2 linked regions of the Oryctolagus cuniculus genome follow. The protein of the gene in region 1 purifies or fractionates together with the protein of each later gene. This does not show direct contact. Links are inferred from orthologs where the notes say so. Each region holds a gene or a part of one and is shown on either strand. Other genes may lie near its edges.

Region 1 (4,524 bases):
TGATGGGAAGGATGATGAATTCATCCAAGCCCACTCCCAGTCAAGCCAGTCGACCTCCCAGCATTTCCTGTGCCTGTGTTCCTTGGATAAAACATTGAATACCTCAGCCGGGCCAGCCCCACCTTCATGTTTACCCTCTGGCCCTTTGCGTATGTTGCACTGACTACTAGATTGCGTGCTGCCCTTCTTTTTTTTTTTTTTTTTCTTTTTATTTATTTGAAAGGCAGAGTGACAGACAGGATCTCCTGTCCACTGGTTCCATCTCAAATGAACAAATGCCAGGGCTGAGCCATGGCAAAACCAGAACTCAGAACTCCATCTCAGGGCCAGCGCTGGGGCCTAGTGGGTAAAAGTCTGCCCATCTCATATGGGCACCAGTTCAAGTCCCAGCTCCCTGCTATGGCCTGGAAAAGTAGGGGAGGATGGCCAAGGCCCAAGGGCCCCTGCATCCACGTGGGAGACCTGGAAGAAGCTCCTGGGTCTTGGCTTTGGACCTGCTCAACCCTGGCCATTGCGGCTATTTAGGGAGTAAACCAGCAGATGGAAGATCTTTCTCCCTCTAACTCTGTTCTTCGAATAAGTGAATCTTAAAAAAAAAAAAAAAGAAAGAAATCTGGGTCTGGCCAGCGCCACAGCTCACTAGGTTAATCCTCCGCCTTGCGGCGCTGGCACACCGGGTTCTAGTCCTGGTCGGGGCGCTGGATTCTGTCCCGGTTGCCCCTCTTCCAGGCCAGCTCTCTGCTATGGCCAGGGAGTGAGTGCTTGGGCCCTGCACCCCATGGGAGAACAGGAGAAGTACCTGCCTCCTGCCATTGGATCAGCGCAGCGCGCCGGCCGCGGCGGCCATTGGAGGGTGAGCCAACGGCAAAGGAAGACCTTTCTCTCTGTCTCTCTCACTGTCCACTCTGCCTGTAAAAAAAAAAAAAAAAAAAAAAAAAAATCTGGGTCCACGTGGGTCGCAGTGACCACTTGCTACCTGCCACCGTGCACACTGGCAGGAAGCTAGAATCTGAACCAGAACCTGGACTTGAACTCAGACACTCCAATACGGGATGCAGGATGTGCCCCATGTGGTGTCTTAGCCTCCAGGCCAAGCGTCCACCCCAGCCCTTCCATTAATTCACCCTTCCACTAATTTGGTAACGTGAGATTCCAAAATGCATTTCACGTCGCCGTATTTCTGCTTTAATCCAGCCAACGCAGTACACACTTTCTCCGGGTATCTCGAAGATACCAACAAGTGACTTAGCTTGTGCCGTGGAGTGGTGACTGGGAATTAAGAAACAGCCACTGTGCAACAGCGTCCAGTAGACGATTTCCAATATGCAATGCAGACGCGAACTCTTCCCCGCTAAGAAACAGCGCAAGCCCTGCAGCGTGACCCTGGTCGGTGTGCAAATGAGGCTCCTTCCGTACTTACGGCAGGCTCAGGCCGCTCCCTGCGCGGCCGGTTCGCCGCTGCCCGCTGGGCGCCGCCCTCGCGGCCCGGCCCGAGGACCCGCACGGGGTGCCCGCGGCGGCGCCTGACGGGAGTGCCGTTCCTGGGGGGGCGTCTTCGCGCTCTGCGCCCCGCGCCCCGCGCCCCGCGCTCCGTGCAGTTCCTTGGGAGCGCGGCGCGCGGCGCGTCCTCCGGGGCAGGGTCGGGCAGCGCGGGGCGGCGCGCGCACACGCAGGCGGGGCGCGGCCGCCCCCGCCAGGACCGGCGGGCCCGGAAATGCTCGCTGTCACAAAGGGGGGAACACGTGGGCGCCGACTGCCGGGCCGGCGGTCGCAGGGAGCCGGGGTCGCCTAAAGAGCCGCCCACCGTCTCCGAGGCCCGCCCAACTTCTCCGCCCCGGCCTCCCAGTTGGGGAGGGGGATTCCCGGCCCTGCCCGACCACCTCCCTCCAGTACGTACACGCGGCGCGAACCCGCGTCCACCGGACGCCGAACCGCTATTGCGAACTCCCGCACTCCCGGAGACCCCTGCGATCCTGGGGAGACCTCCGCCCCTCTTCCCCCAGGCGGGCTCTCCTTGTCACTGTGAGAGCTAGCCCCTGGGCTCCTGAGGCCTGAGCATCTCGGGCGCCTGCGGCAAAGGAGCCACCCCCCCCCCCGAGGGCCCCCTCTCTCTTCAATATAGGGTCCCTGCGTCCCTCAGTCTACCCCCGTCTCTTTCTCCCAGGTTTCGCCATCTCGTCCGGGACCCGCATAACCATGTCCATCCTTTACGTCTCCCCTCACCCCGATGCCTTCCCCAGCCTCCGGGCCCTCATAGCTGCTCGCTATGGGGAGGCTGGAGAGGGACCAGGATGGGGAGGAGCCCACCCCCGAATCTGTCTCCAGCCGCCCCCAACCAGTAGGACGCCCTTTCCCCCACCCCGCCTGCCGGCCCTGGAGCAGGGGCCCGGTGGGCTGTGGGTGTGGGGGGCCACGGCTGTGTCTCAGCTGCTGTGGCCAGCGGGCCTCGGGGGCTCTGGGGGCAGCCAGGCGGCTGTCCTCGTCCAACAGTGGGTCAGCTACGCCGACACGGAGCTAATACCGGCTGCCTGTGGGGCTACGCTGCCGGCCCTGGGACTGCGAAGCCCAGCTCAGGACCCCCAGGTGAGTGGGGAGGAGAGGAGGGTGAGGGGGAAATTGGAGATGATCGTAATAGAGCCATCAGATACGGAAAAACGTTGATCAAGTCCCAGATTGTCACCGAGTGTGGTAGCCTTGGGCTGGCTTCTTAAACTCTGAGCCGGGTGCCTGATGTAATACCAGCCTCGCTGAGTTAATGCGATTAAAGGATGTGTCAGAGCACACAGTCCCATGCCAGGCAGCTTCGAAGTTTCCAGGTAGAAGTTTGTGAGTTGGATGAGAATAGATAGGGGTGACTGGGACTTGAGAGAAGCCTGGGTGAGGGAGAGGTGGCGGCTGCTGGAAGGAGATAAAGGAGAAATTAAATGAGGAGGAAGGGAGAGGAGAAACCCTACCAGTTATGTCTGTAAGTCCTTCCAGAGCAGGGCTGTGCCTACCCGCAGCTCCGCCTCCTGCTACGGCATGTGGCAGGCTCGTGGTGTTTCTCGAATGAATGAATTTGTGACACAGACCCTGGCGTCATCGCCCTGTCTAAAATAGTCTCTTTTTCCTAGAATTTCTTGTTCCCATCAGCCTGCTGTGTGTTTCTTTGTAAGAGTTAAGAAAGGGCTGTGTACTAAGTAGTTGCTCATGTGTGGTCCTCCCTGTAAGCTGGCAGGCAGGGCTCGGCCTGTCCACGTGGGTGCCTCATTCCCCAGACAGGCGCTTTAAAAGAAATTAAGCCCTGGACCTGGTGATTACTTTGCTGCCTCGGAGGATCTTTAATTCCTGTGCTTACTGTATGGCCCTGGCACATAGTACGTGTTCAATAGAGATTTGCTGGATGCGTCAGAAGTATTGATATGAGTGTGTGAGCGAAGGAGAGACTGACCTCAGAGGTGGTGATCTGCAGGAGTGGGTGTGGAGGGAGGCCTACCAGATCGGGTTAGGGGGTGGACCAGGCCTGTCTCATCCCCTTCCCCTTCCCGCAGGCTGCCCTGGGAGCCCTGGGCAGGGCCTTGAGCCCCTTGGAGGAGTGGCTCCGTCTGCACACCTACCTGGCTGGGGAGGCCCCCACGCTGGCTGACCTGGCAGCTGTCACAGCCCTGCTGCTGCCGTTCCGATATGTGAGTCACTGGGGCCTGGGGAGGAACCGAGAGCCCCTCTCTGACCTTGCTATAGGGTGGCTGAGATGGTCATTCCCCGTGTTAGGTCCTGGACCCCTCGGCCCGCCAGGTCTGGGGTAACGTGACCCGCTGGTTCCTCACGTGCGTCCAGCAGCCGGAATTCCGCGCCGTGTTGGGAGAAGTGGTTCTGTACTCGGGGGCCAGGCCCTTCTCTCAGCAGCCAGGTGAGGGAGGGCGGATGGCGGCTCCTCTCCGGCTGGCCGGGGCCTGCAACAGCCTGCGTGAGAGGCGGTAGCACTGTTACAGAGGGTCCCAGGGACTGAGTGTGACCTCCTGCACCTCTCTCCAGGCCCTGAGGTGGCTGCACCCCCAAAGACAGCTGCTCAGCTCAAGAAAGAGGCAAAGAAGCGGGAGAAGCTAGAAAAATTCCAACAGAAGCAGAAAATGCAGCAGCAGCAGCCCCCCCCAGGGGAGGTGAGAGGCTCAGGGTGCAGCTGGAGGAGGTGGTACCCGGGAGGGGTGGGGAGGGGTGGCTGATAGCCTGGGCCTTGTCGTATCCCACCCCCACCCCCACCCCCCGCAGAAGAAACCAAAACCAGAGAAGAAGGAGAAACGGGATCCTGGGGTCATCACCTATGACCTCCCAACCCCACCCGGAGAGAAGAAAGGTAACCCCACCCTCCAGCTGCTCCGTCCAAGCGTTTGCCCCTTCTTGCTCCGGCCTTGCGGCCTTGCGTGCATCACGCTGCTCAGTGAGGGTGTCCGTCTCGCGATGGGCGTGCTAGAAGCCTGTCCCCCTGCGGGCCCACCCCTTGCCCCTGCTCTCAGCCGCACACTGAGCCCTCCCCTCCGCCCCGCA
Region 2 (4,428 bases), about 40 Mb from region 1:
CCAGCGAGGCGCCAAGGCTGAGGACTGGGCGGGAAGACACCCCGAACCTCGATACCTCTGCGGTGCAGCGGGGAGAGTGGAAGACCCCGGAGGTGCCCTCGCCGCCGCCCTCCCCCCACCTCTCGCCGCCAGAGCCCAGAGTAATTCATACAAAAGAGGACTCGCCTCAGTCTCGGGGAAGCCCAGGGACCGTCGCTAAACTCCCGTTACCCTAGAACCGAGAGATCGCCGCGTCCCCGCCCCCTACCCCTCGCGCTCGTCGTCACCGGGACCGAGGCGAGCATGCGCGAGGCGCTGTGTGCTCGTCAGTGGTCGGAGCGCACATCGCCCACGGTCCCCGAGGCGTTGGGGGAGGGGACGGCGATTGAACCGGTGCCTAGTGGAGGTGGCGCGGGGCAAACTGGGAAAGCGGTGTCGTGTGCTGACTCCGCCCTCTTCCCGAGGGTGGGGGAGAACCGTATATAAGTGCCGTAGTCGCCCTGGACGTTCTTTTTCGCAACGGGTTTGCCGCCAGAACACAGGTGAGTGTCGGGTGTGGCTTCCGCGGGTCTGGCCTTGAGCGGGCTGGGGCCCTCGCGTGCTCGGGGACACTGCCATGCCACTGAGCCTCTTGACGAGGTTCCTGGCTCCGAATTTCGGGCTGTAACGGGGCGGGAGGGTTGGAGGTTTGCGCGTTTTCCAGGAGCCTCTTCCTCGTGCTGGAGTTGAGGCCTGGCGTGGCCGCCGCGTGCGAGTCCTCTCGCCTTCGCGCCGGCCTGGCTAGCCTCGCTCGCGGGGCCCTTCGGCCCTTTGAGTTTTTACGTGGATCGGTACGGCTCTTTTTTTGTTCGTCGAGATGGGCCCGCCGAGGCCGGGCGGGCTACCCCGCGCGTTCGTCGTCCGGCCCGAGGGGGTGGCAGGGCGGCCGCGCGGCGTAGGGACAGCGAGCGGCGGGGCCCGCCCGTCCGGGCGCACATGTCGGGCGCGGCCTGGGCGAGGCCCGACGGCGCCGCGCCTGCCCAGGCCGGGCGAGGGGAGAGGCGAGGGTCGTGGGGCGGGCGGCTCGGTGGGGCCGCGGCCGCCCCACCCCGGGCGGCGGAGCCCGGCCCGCTCGGCACCAGTTGCGTGCGCGGAAAAAGATGGCCGCTCGCCGTCCCCGCTGCAGGGAGCTCAAAATGGAGGACGCGGTGGCCCGGGAGAGCGGGCGGGTGAGTCACCCACACAAAGGAAAAGAGCCTTCCCCTCTTCGGCCGCCGCTTCCTGCGACCCCACGGGGTACAGGGCGCCGTCTGGGCACCTGGCTTCTTCGTGTGGCCTTTGGAGTTCGGCTTGGCTCGGCTGGGGGCGGAGATTTTTTAGGCGATGGAGTTAACTCACTCGGTGGGTGGAGACTGAAGAGTTAGGCCAGCTTGGCATTGGATGTAATTCTCCTTGGAATTTGCCCTTTTGAGTTTTGAACGTGGCTTAGTCTCAACCCTCGGACAGTGGTTCAAAGGTTCCCCCCCTTTTTCCATTTTAGGTGTCGTGAAAACCACCGCTAAATCAAAGCCAAAATGGGAAAGGAAAAGACTCACATCAACATCGTCGTCATTGGCCACGTAGATTCGGGCAAGTCCACCACCACTGGCCATCTGATCTACAAATGTGGTGGCATCGACAAAAGAACCATTGAAAAATTTGAGAAGGAGGCTGCCGAGGTATGTCCAGTATCGCAAGGGAAAGATGCTGAATTACATTAAGTCTGGCCACTAAAATGAGAGTGCTATGACTATAAAAGACAACAGTGATTAGTTGTCTGAATGTGAATGTTAAAATCACGAGCCACCATATCGACTGGAGAGCCACCTAGGCCCAGCAGTTTGGGAAGCGGAATGCATTCCCAAGCGGAGGGGGGCATGGGGTTTCAAGCTTTGCTGTGTCTTAGTAACCGTCTGAGTGCTCTGTGTAATTACAGATGGGAAAGGGCTCCTTCAAGTATGCCTGGGTCTTGGATAAACTGAAAGCCGAGCGTGAGCGTGGTATCACCATCGACATCTCCCTGTGGAAATTTGAGACCAGCAAGTATTACGTGACTATCATTGATGCCCCAGGACACAGAGACTTCATCAAAAACATGATTACAGGCACATCTCAGGTTTGTGCAACTAGTAACTGTAGACATAAGGTTTTCTAGGCGGGGGGTGGGTGAGTTCCTCCTTAGGTTTGAGGTACCTTCGTTCACAGTGTGTGTCCTTGATTTCTTTAAAGGCTGACTGTGCCGTCCTGATTGTTGCTGCTGGTGTCGGGGAATTTGAAGCTGGTATCTCCAAGAACGGGCAGACCCGTGAGCATGCCCTTCTGGCTTACACGCTGGGTGTGAAACAGCTAATTGTTGGTGTTAACAAGATGGATTCCACTGAGCCACCCTACAGCCAGAAGAGATACGAGGAAATCGTTAAGGAAGTCAGCACCTACATTAAGAAAATTGGCTACAACCCTGACACAGTAGCATTTGTGCCAATTTCTGGTTGGAACGGTGACAACATGCTGGAGCCAAGTGCTAATGTAAGTGACTTTCAAGACAGTGCTTGTTAAAGAGCTGGAAGTGGTGATGTGATAGAATTAATTGTTCTCTTGTGTTTCAGATGCCGTGGTTCAAGGGATGGAAAGTCACCCGCAAAGATGGCAATGCCAGTGGAACCACACTGCTTGAAGCCCTGGACTGCATCCTTCCACCAACTAGACCAACTGACAAGCCTCTGCGTCTGCCCCTACAGGATGTCTACAAAATTGGTGGTAAGTTGGGTATTAATGTAACATCAGAATATAACTTGAATTGGAACAGGTGAAAAATCTTTGGCCCTCAATAACTCTTTGGTAATCTGCAAATATTTTAGGTATTGGCACTGTCCCTGTGGGCCGAGTGGAGACTGGTGTTCTCAAACCTGGCATGGTGGTAACTTTTGCTCCAGTCAATGTCACAACTGAAGTCAAGTCCGTCGAAATGCACCATGAAGCTTTGAGTGAAGCTCTTCCTGGGGACAATGTGGGCTTCAATGTCAAGAACGTGTCTGTCAAAGATGTTCGTCGTGGCAACGTTGCTGGTGACAGCAAAAATGACCCACCAATGGAAGCAGCTGGCTTCACTGCTCAGGTAACAATTTAAAATGATCTGTTAATTGACAATGTTCATGCATACTCAAGGGGGTAAGCAATCTGATGCATGTATGAAGTGTTATCACATCAGGGGAGTTAGCATTTCTAGCTGTTACCACAGTTCAGTTTGAGAAGCACTAAAATGCATATCCTTTTTTTCCCAGGTGATCATCCTGAACCATCCAGGTCAGATCAGTGCTGGGTATGCCCCTGTACTGGATTGTCACACAGCTCACATTGCTTGCAAGTTTGCTGAGCTGAAGGAAAAGATTGATCGTCGTTCTGGAAAGAAGTTGGAAGATGGCCCTAAATTCTTGAAATCTGGTGATGCTGCCATTGTTGATATGGTTCCCGGCAAGCCCATGTGTGTTGAGAGCTTCTCTGACTATCCTCCTCTGGGTAAGGATTTTTTTTTTTATTGCTATTACAAGTTGTACTAAAGATTAACAATTGCTTCTGTGAACTATGTGTCTCATGGCAACTCAATACTTGTTTTAATAGGTCGTTTCGCTGTCCGTGATATGAGACAGACGGTTGCTGTGGGTGTGATCAAAGCAGTGGACAAGAAGGCTGCTGGAGCTGGCAAGGTCACCAAGTCTGCCCAGAAAGCTCAGAAGGCTAAATGAATATTACCCCTAATACCTGCCACCCCAGTCTTAATCAGTGGTGGAAGAACGGTCTCAGAACTGTTTGTCTCAATTGGCCATTTAAGTTTAATAGTAAAAGACTGGTTAATGATAACAATGCATCGTAAAACCTTCAGAAGGAAAGGAGAATGTTTTGTGGACCATTTTTTTTGTGCGTGGCAGTTTTAAGTTATTAGTTTTTAAAATCAGTACTTTTTAATGGAAACAACTTGACCAAAAATCTGTCACAGAATTTTGAGACCCATTAAAACAAAGTTTAATGAGAAACCTGTGTCTTCTTGTCAACACTGGACCTGTCAAATGTGTTCCAGGTTTTTCTAATTAGAATTGGCTGGAATTTTAAAACTCCATGGGTTAGGGATTTTTTCCCACCTGTTTGTTTTAAGCTATGGAGGGCTGTTAGCCCTGCTGGTTAGAACTGTTGACATGTAATTTAGTTTAGAAAGCAAAATTCTGTAATCTTAAGGGATGAAATGTTGCATATAAAATTGTGTAGCTACAAGTAAATTTGTTAGAATCATTAAATTTTGGTTTCCCAAATTACTTGAAGTTTTAGTAAAACAGCACTGGTTTCTAGGGTCCTAAGAAAACGTAAAAAGTGGTTTCCTGATGTAAGTGAGAACACCATTTCTAACAGATTTCTTCTAAAGCAGTTTGGTAAAGGATT

The links.
Region 2: the proteins of VARS1 (region 1) and EEF1A1 purify together in Homo sapiens (affinity purification with mass spectrometry; 3 studies listed by BioGRID and IntAct, counting the BioPlex papers as one, with this or other methods). This does not show direct contact. The link is inferred for Oryctolagus cuniculus from reciprocal best matches to the Homo sapiens genes VARS1 and EEF1A1.

What each region holds. Positions count from the first base shown.
Region 1 is NC_091436.1:138,825,610-138,830,133, forward strand, and holds the start of VARS1 (valine--tRNA ligase), read left to right. Parts: upstream 1-1,676; 5' UTR 1,677-1,889; intron 1,890-2,164; 5' UTR 2,165-2,196; coding exon 2,197-2,583; intron 2,584-3,530; coding exon 3,531-3,665; intron 3,666-3,750; coding exon 3,751-3,889; intron 3,890-4,014; coding exon 4,015-4,139; intron 4,140-4,248; coding exon 4,249-4,333; intron 4,334-4,524. UniProt on the Homo sapiens protein: Catalyzes the attachment of valine to tRNA(Val).
Region 2 is NC_091436.1:99,027,611-99,032,038, forward strand, and holds EEF1A1 (elongation factor 1-alpha 1), read left to right. Parts: upstream 1-1,504; 5' UTR 1,505-1,532; coding exon 1,533-1,676; intron 1,677-1,933; coding exon 1,934-2,113; intron 2,114-2,226; coding exon 2,227-2,523; intron 2,524-2,603; coding exon 2,604-2,754; intron 2,755-2,855; coding exon 2,856-3,112; intron 3,113-3,278; coding exon 3,279-3,513; intron 3,514-3,615; coding exon 3,616-3,740; 3' UTR 3,741-4,025; downstream 4,026-4,428. UniProt on the Homo sapiens protein: Translation elongation factor that catalyzes the GTP-dependent binding of aminoacyl-tRNA (aa-tRNA) to the A-site of ribosomes during the elongation phase of protein synthesis.